3 linked regions of the Drosophila melanogaster genome follow. Changing the gene in region 1 together with any one later gene gives a genetic interaction. Each region holds a gene or a part of one and is shown in the gene's direction. Other genes may lie near its edges.

Region 1 (3,755 bases):
CATTTTGGCGAGTCCAGCAAAGAAAGTATGGAGAAGGAACACATTGAATTCCAGCCCAGCTTGACTCCGGCTCACTCCTACTTCAACAGAATCCTACTCCAAGTATCGCGGTCTGATGGTGCAAAAATGAAAATCACAATTCCTGACCACATGAAAGTGGATCACTCGGCCCGCAACCTGGATCCCTTTGTGCTGGAAACGACCGAGCTGTCGCAGTATTTGTCCCAACATGGCCTTAAACTACGAGTAGAGGAGCTTGCCTGCCAGGAGGACATCCAAAACGTGGGCATATTCCGCCCACTAACAATAATCCGAGGTGACGGTCGAGAATACCGCGCCAACACTGAAATTAAAACCGAGACGTGGATAAGCGAGCTAAAGCGTAAGGAGAAACGGCCGGACTTTCGGTTCACACAGCCCACTGGAACCTATGGAGCCCGATATTTGAAACGTATAACAATGCGCGACGCAAGGCGTGTGCAACTTGAGATAAATAATCCGTTTTGGGATGTTACCGAAACGCCCAGCTTTCTTCTCAAACTCAACGATAACGAGATACCACTTGACAGCCTTAGCTCACTGCAAACCTTCGAGGAAGGGACCATGGATCCATTAAACATCCCTCTAGATCTGCCCCGTCGCAATCTGGAAAAAATTTTGAATCCGGAAGGTTCTGATAGAGCATCAGACCAAGTAGCGAGCGATATCAATGATGAGCCGCCAAGCCCTGAGACGCTGTTATTGCAAGTGTCAAATTTTGATTGCTGGCTTCTACACGGCTATATGAAAAGAATTCGGAGGCATGACAAGCATGAACTGCGTCAGTTGTTCCCCTGTTCCTTCCGTTGGCTCTTGGAGACGTGTGCCAGCACAATAGGCATAGTCTGGGAGGAGCTCTACGAGGAACTGCTCATTGTGGAAGTGATGTACCATCACAGCATCAGGGACTGGAGCAATCATAGGAACTATCTGTGTATTCAACACAATACTCAAGAGAAGGACATCCGAACCCTCGCCAGGACGTACAAGGAGTTATGGTAGTATATTAGAAGTATTAAAAGTTTTGAATTAACAAACAACGATGCCATCTGTATAAAATATAATATTCTTCTACGTAGTGCTCTACCTCAAATGATAGATTTTCTTTTTGTGTATATAACCTGTAGAAATCTTTCAACAGTGATTATGATGCAAATAAATCTGTGTGTTAAGCAGTTACCAAAGTACAAACATGACACACCCACTACGTCAATAGCTTAAGTTCAGGAATTTATGATTTACACACTTATCGAAAGTGATCAATTCATTTAACAAAAATATTCGTTGTCTACCCATACGTTTTCCTATGCCCAAATGTTAAATTTGCATCCATTTTAGATTGAAACGATCTATGTATTAAGGGGCAGTGTTATCTCCTTGGCCGCGACTGTGTGAGCAAAGGCACATTAACATCAATATCAATAGGCAAATTAGCGTTTATCAGAACAACAACAATCACATTAGCAGCAACAATGCGTGTCGCGGTTTTGTTTACAAAAATCTTCTTCAAAAGAGAGCGCCAGGCCCCACGGTCATCACCAACTGGAGAGAGCAAAAAAAGAGCGTGAGAGTACTTGGGGAAACAGAGGAGCTCACTTGGCTTGTTTTTGAACAGTTCTACTTATAAAGTAATTATACCAAATAAACAACAAAATAAAATAAATAAACCAAAAAAAATCACTTACATATATAACAATTTAAAGGGTGTTCAATTGTGATAGTTTATATTTGCTTTAAGTTTAACGTTGTCAACGCTCTCATAGGAGCGATTTCCTTTTAATGTCTTACTAGCTTTGTTTCATATAAAGCAGTTATCTCTGATGATCCTACTTCAAAAATCCGGCGAAAGAGGTGATAAGAATTATCTTATGCTTTTTTTCGATATTCTTGTGATCTTACCTATATTTATAGCTATATCTAGCTAGAAAAGAGGCCACCTCCGCTTGGGAGCAGTGAGAGTGGGTAAAGAAATCATAGGCGCGCATTCGCACGGCGCGTTTCAGTGCTAATTTTAACGTCGTCGCTGACTGTTTCGCCTTATTGCCCTGCTGCGGTTTGAGTTTCCCTATTTTCCACTTTTCCACTGGCCGCGAGCACTGAGTTCGAATTCAATTTAAATTAGTTCCCATTGTGCCTTTGTACGCCTCTTTGCCCGTCCAGCGCAGTGTGATAACCAGAAACCAAAGTGCCTGTGCCCAAGAAGTGCAGTGGAATCGGATGTGTGGACAGGAATTTTAACCGTTGCAGCGCGCGACTTGAAGAGAACCGATCTGAAAGTGATGAAAGTGTGGAGGCCACAGAAATAGGAACCAAAAATAAATTCAAAATCAGAGTTTAAAAATAGCCGAGTGCATGGCAAATTATGAGATATCTAAAGACTGTCAATTAAAATAGCACTGTTGTGTCTGTGATTTGTTGGATATCTGTTGTTTTAGAAGTCTGCTGGTGAGTTGGTTTTTCGGTTTTTGAAAATGTTTTCATATTAATATGCGCGCGTGTGGTTACCATTCAAATGCTACGATTATGGAAAGACAGCTGTTTCAATACCGCCGAAAGTATAGTGGTGCTTCCATTTCTCAAGAGTTTAGCTGCCTAGCTGTTACGTCAACCTTTTGCGGGGGGTCGGGGGCTTATGCTTTACCATAGCATTTGATTCTCTAGTTTCTGTAGGCTGAGCCACCCCCCCCCCCTCATCCTCCTCTTCCTCCTCCCACCGCTATAATACCGACCGATCTGGCTGACGTTCTTGGCGGTTTTTGAGGTTAACAACATTTTCAGGCCGCTTTGTTTCGCTGTGAGCCAAACAATAAACAACTATTGACTCGCACTGGCCATGTTTAGCGAGCCGACTTACAAACAATTAATAGCTACTATTTTGTCACTTGCTGACTTTTATGCCAAAATATTTGCCTAAGCTGTTCGCATTAGCAAATCGAACAAATTGCTCAAAGCGAAAAAAAAATAAGAAAACAACCATATAGCACGCGCATTTATCTTGATTTCGATTCCATGTGACTAAATCATTATTTGTGGGCTTACAATTTGTTTTCCCAACTGAAGTTTGCCTTAGCCAATTGGGTCCTGTTTTTGCGGATTCTTTGTTGGTACAGTGGTCTACCCCAGTAGTGGACTAAAGATCAAAAATGTAGTTATTTTTATTAACCTATTCGATTTGATAATCAACACAGCCATACTTTGTTTACTTGTTAATACAAAGGTGGTAACAAAATGAAGTCCATAGGGTCAAGAGCAGGTTTTAATGATAGATAAAACAGCGCCTGGTTCTATAGCAATTTACCTACAACCCCAAGTGTATACTTATTTCATGGAGTAATTTACAGAATATCAACAAGTTTTCATGTGATATTGCACTCAAAATTTCTGGAAATTTCATCAGTGAAGCGTTTGCTTTTGTACAAACTAACGCCCACTGTATATGAGGAATATAATATGAGATTGGTGTTTGTCAAATGCTAATTAGTTTCATTATATCTGCCAGCCACGAGTGCAGTGGGGTGGAGTTCGGGGGCCGTGAAGTGTATTAATTGGATGAGCCGAAACAGTTTGATAAGCACAATATTGCTTGCCACGGATCTGGTCGGACATATGGTAGTAATCACGTCTGTCCGTCGAAATGTTTATCAATACCACCCTCTTACCTCCCCAAAAAGATACAAAAAGTAAGGCACTCTGCTGCCGCCAATGGATGTCAAACT
Region 2 (3,755 bases), on another chromosome or scaffold:
TAGGCGTAGCAATTTAGTGCGGTTTTAGGGCGTGGCAAAAAGTTATGGAATTATGAAGAAATAATTTTCAAAATTTCTAAAATGTTAGCGTAGCAGTTATGGGCGGTTTTACGGCGTTAGAGTAGACGTGGCAAAAAGTTTTTTTGCAAATTGATAAAAAATGAAATGTAAAAAAATATCAAGACTTTTTTAAAAGTGTGGGAGTGGCCGTTTTTTGCGGCTTGTGGGCGTGGCAGCATGGGCCAACAAACTTGCGCTGCATCGTTGTCTCTAGAATTTGTATGCTGAATCTCATACGAACAGACGGGCATGGCTAGATCGACTCGGCAATTGATCCTGATCAAGAATATATATACTTTGTATGTTCGGAAACGCTTCCTTCTGCCTGTTACATACTTTTTAACGAATCTAGTATACCCTTATTATACCCGTTATTGCTTGTTGTTGTGCTCCCATTTTGTGTGAAACATCTAATAGAAAGTAAAGTAACAACGGTGGCCCTGTGACAACTGTTTTGATATATGAGAACAGTACAATTACGAACTAGGAAAAACACACTGCGAAAAGAGGAAGTAGTGAAACAGGCGACAAACCCAGTAAGAAATACACCCAATCTTAAAATAAGTACAGAATTATAATTTGTCTCATTAATATTTGCGTTGCCCAGTGTTTATCGTTCCATAGCCATCTTCCGTTGTTTCTTTCAATAAAATAATCGATAGCTGCCCTGTTTTGTACATTTTGTATTTTAACCTCAATTTACGATATATACGAGCAATTCAATCAAAAAAGAGTAATTGAACAATCCCTTGGTAATGCGCATTAAAAATCATTTTTTATTAGCAGTTACCAATCGAGAAGCCAAAATGACTGAGAGCATTGTGTGTCACAAGTGCCAGGAGGCCATCACCAAGCGTATGATCACCGCCCTGGGCAAGACGTGGCACCCGGAGCACTTCCTGTGCCACCACTGCGATGAGCAGATCCTGGATGCCACCTTCAATGTTCAGAGCGGAGAACCAGTGTGCAACAAGTGCTTCGTGGAGCGGTACACCTACACCTGTGCCGGCTGCAAGAAGCCGATCCTTGAAAAAACCATCTGCGCCATGGGGGAGAGGTGGCACGAAGCTTGCTTTTGCTGCGGCGGTGCCTGCAAGAAGCCGCTCGCCAGTCAAACGTTCTATGAGCGCGACGGCAAGCCCTATTGCAAACAGGATTACGAGAACCTCTTTGCTGCCAGGTGCGCCAAGTGCGAGAAGCCTATAACGGACTCAGCGGTGCTCGCCATGAACGTGAAGTGGCATCGCAATTGCTTCCAGTGCAACAAATGCGAGAATCCTATAACCTCGCAGACTTTTACCATCGACGGGGACAAGCCCGTGTGCCCCGCCTGCAATTGCTAACATCGTCCCGGACCCATGATCTTACTCCAAATTGTTTAGTTCCTTTCTTACACTAATGTTGAAATAGTTCCCGATGCTTATGAAGCCTAGAGGCATGAAAGAAATCAGACCCACACATTTGACCACACTTAACATTTCGCACACGCACACACTAAATAAAAATAAATATGTAAAGTCTCTGTATTGGGGTGGCCAGGTAAACCCTTTTATCGTTAAGATTTGCCTAAGACCAACAACACCCACAACAACATACTGATTACTGCGAGATAAACTAGAACGCAAGCCCTTTCCCAATTTTGAGTAAATATTTTCCCCAAACCCAGTGAAAAGAAGCTGTCGAGGAAAGTGTGCTTGATATGAGATCATGTTTCCAAGGGTAAATATGCTACCCAGCCTTGGAACATGCACATCTGATTATCTCATAAACGCCATTAGTCGGTGGAATTATGTTGTTTGGAGGAGGGGTATCCCAGCAGTGCAGCGGAAAATGGAAAACTCTGCGAGGGTGTGCTGACGTGCCGTCATCGTGGAAAATTCATACATTCGGGTAAAATACACGAAGCGGCTTCGTTAGTCAAGTTTTCGTTACGATTTTGTGGGCTCTGCGGCTTTGGAGTTGCCGGCTGCCGGTTTCAGTTTCATTTTTCAAACGGAGCTCGTGCAAAGCGGTTCGGTTGGTCTTTAAGCGATTTTCCACAAACCAAAAAGTATTTCCGCGGAAAAGCTGCCCGAAAACGGGAAAAGAGAGGTGGCTAATTAATTACACTGTTGAAACTGTCCCATAAATAATTGCCGTTTGAGTCGAACAATTAAGGAGTCTGTAAAAAGCTGCAGCAGCTGCAAGCCTCCATAAATCGTGTCTATCAAAATCAAGATCGTGGTTTACGTATGTTGCGAACTTTGAAATTTATTTGCGATCTATGGCCAGATTTTCCAGATTCGGATTTTCCAAATGCAGCCAATATCCTCACGTCTAGTGGCACTGACAACTCAATACAGTATATCGTGTAGATTGGCATCAGATAATTGTGATTTAGCCGTGCGTGTTGAAGTGGAATTAGTTTACTCAATTTGCAACTTCAAGTAATTGCAGTTTATTGAGGAAAATATTTTAATATATTAAAGCTGAAGTGGCGGGATAACAGATTAGCTATAAATATATATATATATACATATATGTATGTATGCAAAGACACATCTTTGATAGTAAAACACTAAGTGTGGGTGGTCTGAGCGTTTATTCTAATTGATAATTATTTTAATTAATACAAAAGATATCTAATCTTGTACTTCTACATTTTAAATGCCTGTTAAGGTCTTTCGTGCTTGCGTTTGCTCAGGTGGAGGCAGAGCTTATAAAAATGTTAATCTTACAAATTATAAAATGTGGGATTAATTGGAAAATGTTTTATTTTGATTACCTAGGTGACAGAAAATTAATTGTTAGCATATGCAAATGTCAGTCGCGATGTGAATTTGCATTTTACGAATGTGTCTACAAGCGATCAGGTCTAAAAACTCAATCAATGGGATCAATTAGGGTTTGTAATACTTGCTATTGCTGACTGTGTTGGATCAAAAAGAACATCACGCACACCTTTAAAGCGGCTGTCATTCCAGAACCTTTTTTCGTGGAAATGGAATCCAAGCCAGGCTCTAAGCTTCCAGGCCAAATTTATTGACGCTACTCTGGCATTCTTTTTCAATTCGTAGATGTCTGTGAACGAAAAAATAACTTACAAGCCGATGGCACTGGAAAAGGTCCAAGCCTAAGTCAATAATATCATCGAATTATTCTATTTGGTTTTTATTCACAGCTCATTATACCAATACTCATATATAAAATACCATTTAAAGTTAGGGGAAAGATTGAAAAAGTAGCAATAATTCGATGAAACCAAATGAAGCAACATTTTTTTTTATTGTGTAAGCCATAATATTTTTAAACACGACACATTAAAAAATTTTTTTTTACATTTCTGTATTCATTAAATCTTTGCAATGCAAAATGTTCTTCATTATGATAAAGCAATGCAAAAGGCAAACATTTGATTAAAATTAAGCTCCCAGTACGCATTCTTAGAATCTTTTTTTGTCGCAGTGCAGTTAAAAAACAGTCGGGGCAGTCACTGGCACTGAAGAACCTCCACAGTCGTACTTTGACTCTTGCGGTCGTCGGATGTTTGTAAGTTTGCCGGCTTCGCATAAGTTTTATATGGAAATTGCCATTTTTGGCGTTTCGAGCAACAGGACGGCTATAGACGCACCTTAAAAGTCCACCCGGATCGGCTGGGTCGCGCTTAACCTTTAATGGGGAAACGCCATGGCCCGAGCCTTTGAGAGCCCCTCCAG
Region 3 (3,755 bases), on another chromosome or scaffold:
ACATTTGTATTTTCATTTAGCCTAAAACATTCGAAATTAATCAGAATAAGAGTTTAGAAGTTATTTGTTTGGTTCAATGATTGCTATTTTATCTTGTTGCTAATTTACCACCAGGTTCGTTTGACTGGGAGTTTTTTTTTAAGGATTTTTGTTTTTAGCTGGGGGATGTTGTATCTGCGGGTTAATTTAACTTGGGGTTATTTGATCTAGGGATTAATTTACCTAAGAATTTTTTATATGGGAGTTAGTTTACCTGGGGGCTAGTTAATCTGGCGGTTAGTTTAGATAGTGTTGCATTTGTGCTGTTAGAAGGGCGTTACATGGGCCTTGTGCTTCCCAAATGCAACTAATTTTTGTGTAGGTAACCCCCAGTTTTGTTTATTTTATATCGACTAGATTTGTTTAAGAAATTACATTCATTAGCAAATAGAAAATATATAATAATCATTGCTCATAACGAATATTTGAACACCCTCCTTAACTAAAAACACTTTCGATGGACTATGGCGGAACCAACTTCTTCGTACTCCAAGCTGTCGATCCACATGTTTTGGAAGCTCGTGAGTGAGGCCAAGACGGAACCACCCGTCCAAACGGAGAATCTGCGGTCTGGACTAGCGTTAACCTTGATTCGGATGGATGGTGGAGCCATTTCGGTTAGGTCTTGCAGGAATCTATGCTCGATGTTACGAAACATGGTCGTACCGCCAGAGAGAACAATGTTCGCATACATATCCTTTCGCAGATCCATGTCGCAGTTGGTTATCGAGTGATGGGTGGCCTCGTGGATGCCCATCACCTCCTGACCCAGCAAACTGGGTTGGAAGAGAGCCTCCGGGCAGCGGAATCTCTCGCAGCCCAAAACGATTTTCTGCCCATCTGGCAGCTCATAGGTTTCCACCTTTCCGTGGAGATCCATTTCCTTGGCATAGTTCATTGACACATAGCAGAGTTTCTCCTTGATTTCACGCACGATTTCCCGTTCAGCAGAGGTGCCCATTGTAACGCCCCTCTCCAGAAGCAGCTTGCATAGATAATCGGTGAGGTCCCTGCCGGCCAGATCAACTCGTACACAGGCGTGGGGCAGGGCAAATCCTTCGTAGATCGGTACCGTGTGCGTCACACCATCACCCGAGTCCACCACAATGCCCACAGTACGCCCGGTGGCGTAAAGTGAGAGCACAGCCTGAACTGCTACATAAAAAGCTGGCACCTGAAAGTGTTCGAACATAATCTCTGTCATCTTCTCTCTATTCTTCTTCGGATTCAGTGGGGCTTCGGTGAGTAGAGCCGGCAAATCCATTGGATCCGCCCGCAAGAGCTCGTACGTGTGCTGCCAAACCATCTCCATTTCATCCCAGTTCTTGACCATTCCGTGCTCGATGGGATACTTTAGGGTTAGTATTCCCCTTTTTCGGGCTGCCGCCTCGCCAATAACACTATCACCGATCACGGAATCCAGCAGGACGTTCAGGTGACGAGGTCTGCCCACAATCGACGGGAAGACAGCACGGGGAGTATCTTCTGGGGAGAATCCAGCCTTACATACTCCAGAGCCGTTGTCAATAACCACTGCGGCGTGGTGTGAATTACTATCTACCTCGCTGCTCATGTTTCCAGGAGAGGTTGCTGAACGAATCATGGTCAAATCATAAAATCTTTAGCTTATTTAAGCAACTTACGTAAATGTAGATATTTGTGAAGAATGTTCTGTGCCCGTTTATTTGTTATATCGATTTTGATTCGGGAAGGTATTTGAAATGTAGACATGTTGTGTGCTGTGTTCCAGTCGGATTTTTAAACTTATGACGTTAATTTCATGGTTTATTTCCAATTTAGCGCCATGACATACAGAGGCCAAAAATCGATTAATTCAAGTATCAATCGAATGGATGCAGTCGATACGTAAGCAGCTAAAATATGCTAATAGTCACTAAAGTAGTATTTAAACATAAGAAATATTTAAGAAATCCTCAATATGATTTGAATATGTTTCAGTGCAATGTTTCAATTAAAAATAGTTTTTAATTTCTTTTAGTTTTACTATTTAACTTCAATATATATAAGTTGATCTCACATCACTGACTGATTGGGGTCTTTCGATATTTTCTCATCTGCTCATCTCTAGCAGTAAATTGTTCAAATAGAACAAGCGAAATAACGAGAACGTAAGCCTTGTTTTATTTGATATAAAATCTGATATCGGGACTTAGCCTTATTAGCAGTCGAATAAAACGCAGATATGTTCGTGGCCCGTAAAATTTCGCAAACTGCAAGGTAAGTTGCGAAAAAAAGTATGCCCAAATCGATGCCGGCTGATTACATAAATAGCAACAAATGGCGACCCTGATCTTGAGGACATTATAAAACAAGACACACTTAACCCTTTGCAGCCTGGCGGTGCGTGGCAAGCACACCCTACCGAAGCTGCCCTACGACTATGCCGCCCTGGAGCCTATCATCTGCCGGGAGATCATGGAGCTGCATCACCAGAAGCACCACCAGACCTACGTCAACAATCTAAATGCCGCCGAGGAGCAGCTGGAGGAGGCCAAGTCGAAGAGCGACACCACCAAGCTGATTCAGCTGGCTCCTGCCCTGCGTTTCAATGGCGGTGGCCACATCAACCACACCATCTTCTGGCAGAACCTCTCGCCCAACAAGACCCAGCCCAGCGATGATCTGAAGAAGGCCATCGAGTCGCAGTGGAAGAGCCTCGAGGAGTTCAAAAAGGAGCTGACCACGCTGACCGTGGCGGTCCAGGGCTCCGGCTGGGGCTGGCTGGGCTTCAACAAGAAGTCGGGCAAACTGCAACTGGCCGCCCTGCCCAACCAGGATCCCCTGGAGGCCTCCACCGGCCTGATCCCGCTCTTCGGCATCGATGTCTGGGAGCACGCCTACTATCTGCAGTACAAGAACGTGCGTCCCTCCTACGTGGAGGCCATCTGGGACATCGCCAACTGGGATGACATCTCGTGCCGCTTCCAGGAGGCCAAGAAGCTCGGTTGCTAAGCACAGCCGGCGATTGCGTATGTTTAATCTATAAGCATCTGCGGATCGGAGATCCTAAATTGTAGTCTAAGTTGCGGCTAATAAATTGGTACCAGCTAGCAACTAATTTTTATAATTTTTATGAATGGGAATAAAACAATTTAAAACATAATTTCCGAAGATAACGCTTCACAAAGGCGTATTGAAACTATTACTTCATTGAGGAATTAAAAAATATACATATACCTATTCATATTTTTTATTTTTATCAATTTTATTACGCTCCAAAAAAATTAATTTTTATATTAAATTAAAATATCGCAAATACTGTAAATGTTTTACAACACTGCCGCCCATGGTGCCATCTCTAGCAAATCAGCTGTGCGCGAGCCAAACAAAAACAAAACAAAAGTCAGCCTGCCGCGAAATCGGGGGAGGAAAATTGACATTTCCACCGAGTTTTCCCGAACTTGCGTGCGCGCAGCTGCAAACAATTTTCCAGCACGCGTATCCGAATGGTGGAACAAATGGCCAGCCGCTGGCAGAGTCGTTTGTTGCCTGTTCGCGTAATGGCCATCCTCGAAAATCGCCCGGAGTTTTGAAATCGAGAGACCAGTACGAAACAAAGGAAAATCATTTAATTTCCTGAGGGCGGTGACGAATGAAAAACATACAAAATAAACCACTTGAGTGCAATAATAATTTAATAAAGAACTGTGATTGTGAGTGTGTGAGGAGAACTGTTGACGCCCATCAAGGAATTT

The links.
Region 2: of tws (region 1) and Ret, changing one enhances a phenotype caused by changing the other (phenotypic enhancement), as found in Drosophila melanogaster (one study listed by BioGRID).
Region 3: of tws (region 1) and Sod2, changing one suppresses a phenotype caused by changing the other (phenotypic suppression), as found in Drosophila melanogaster (one study listed by BioGRID).

The regions. Positions count from the first base shown.
Region 1 is NT_033777.3:10,138,056-10,141,810, reverse strand, and holds the start of tws (twins), read left to right. Parts: upstream 1-2,038; 5' UTR 2,039-2,484; intron 2,485-3,755. Other genes in the region: TAF1B (TATA box-binding protein-associated factor RNA polymerase I subunit B), read left to right, coding at 1-1,041. UniProt on the Drosophila melanogaster protein: Could perform a substrate recognition function or could be responsible for targeting the enzyme complex to the appropriate subcellular compartment.
Region 2 is NT_033779.5:21,197,049-21,200,803, reverse strand, and holds the start of Ret (Ret oncogene), read left to right. Parts: upstream 1-2,041; 5' UTR 2,042-2,151; intron 2,152-3,755. Other genes in the region: CG31624 (uncharacterized protein), read left to right, coding at 867-1,403.
Region 3 is NT_033778.4:16,772,277-16,776,031, reverse strand, and holds Sod2 (superoxide dismutase 2 (Mn)), read left to right. Parts: upstream 1-2,116; 5' UTR 2,117-2,242; coding exon 2,243-2,277; intron 2,278-2,393; coding exon 2,394-3,012; 3' UTR 3,013-3,247; downstream 3,248-3,755. Other genes in the region: Arp53D (Actin-related protein 53D), read right to left, coding at 482-1,629, 1,683-1,770. UniProt on the Drosophila melanogaster protein: Destroys superoxide anion radicals which are normally produced within the cells and which are toxic to biological systems.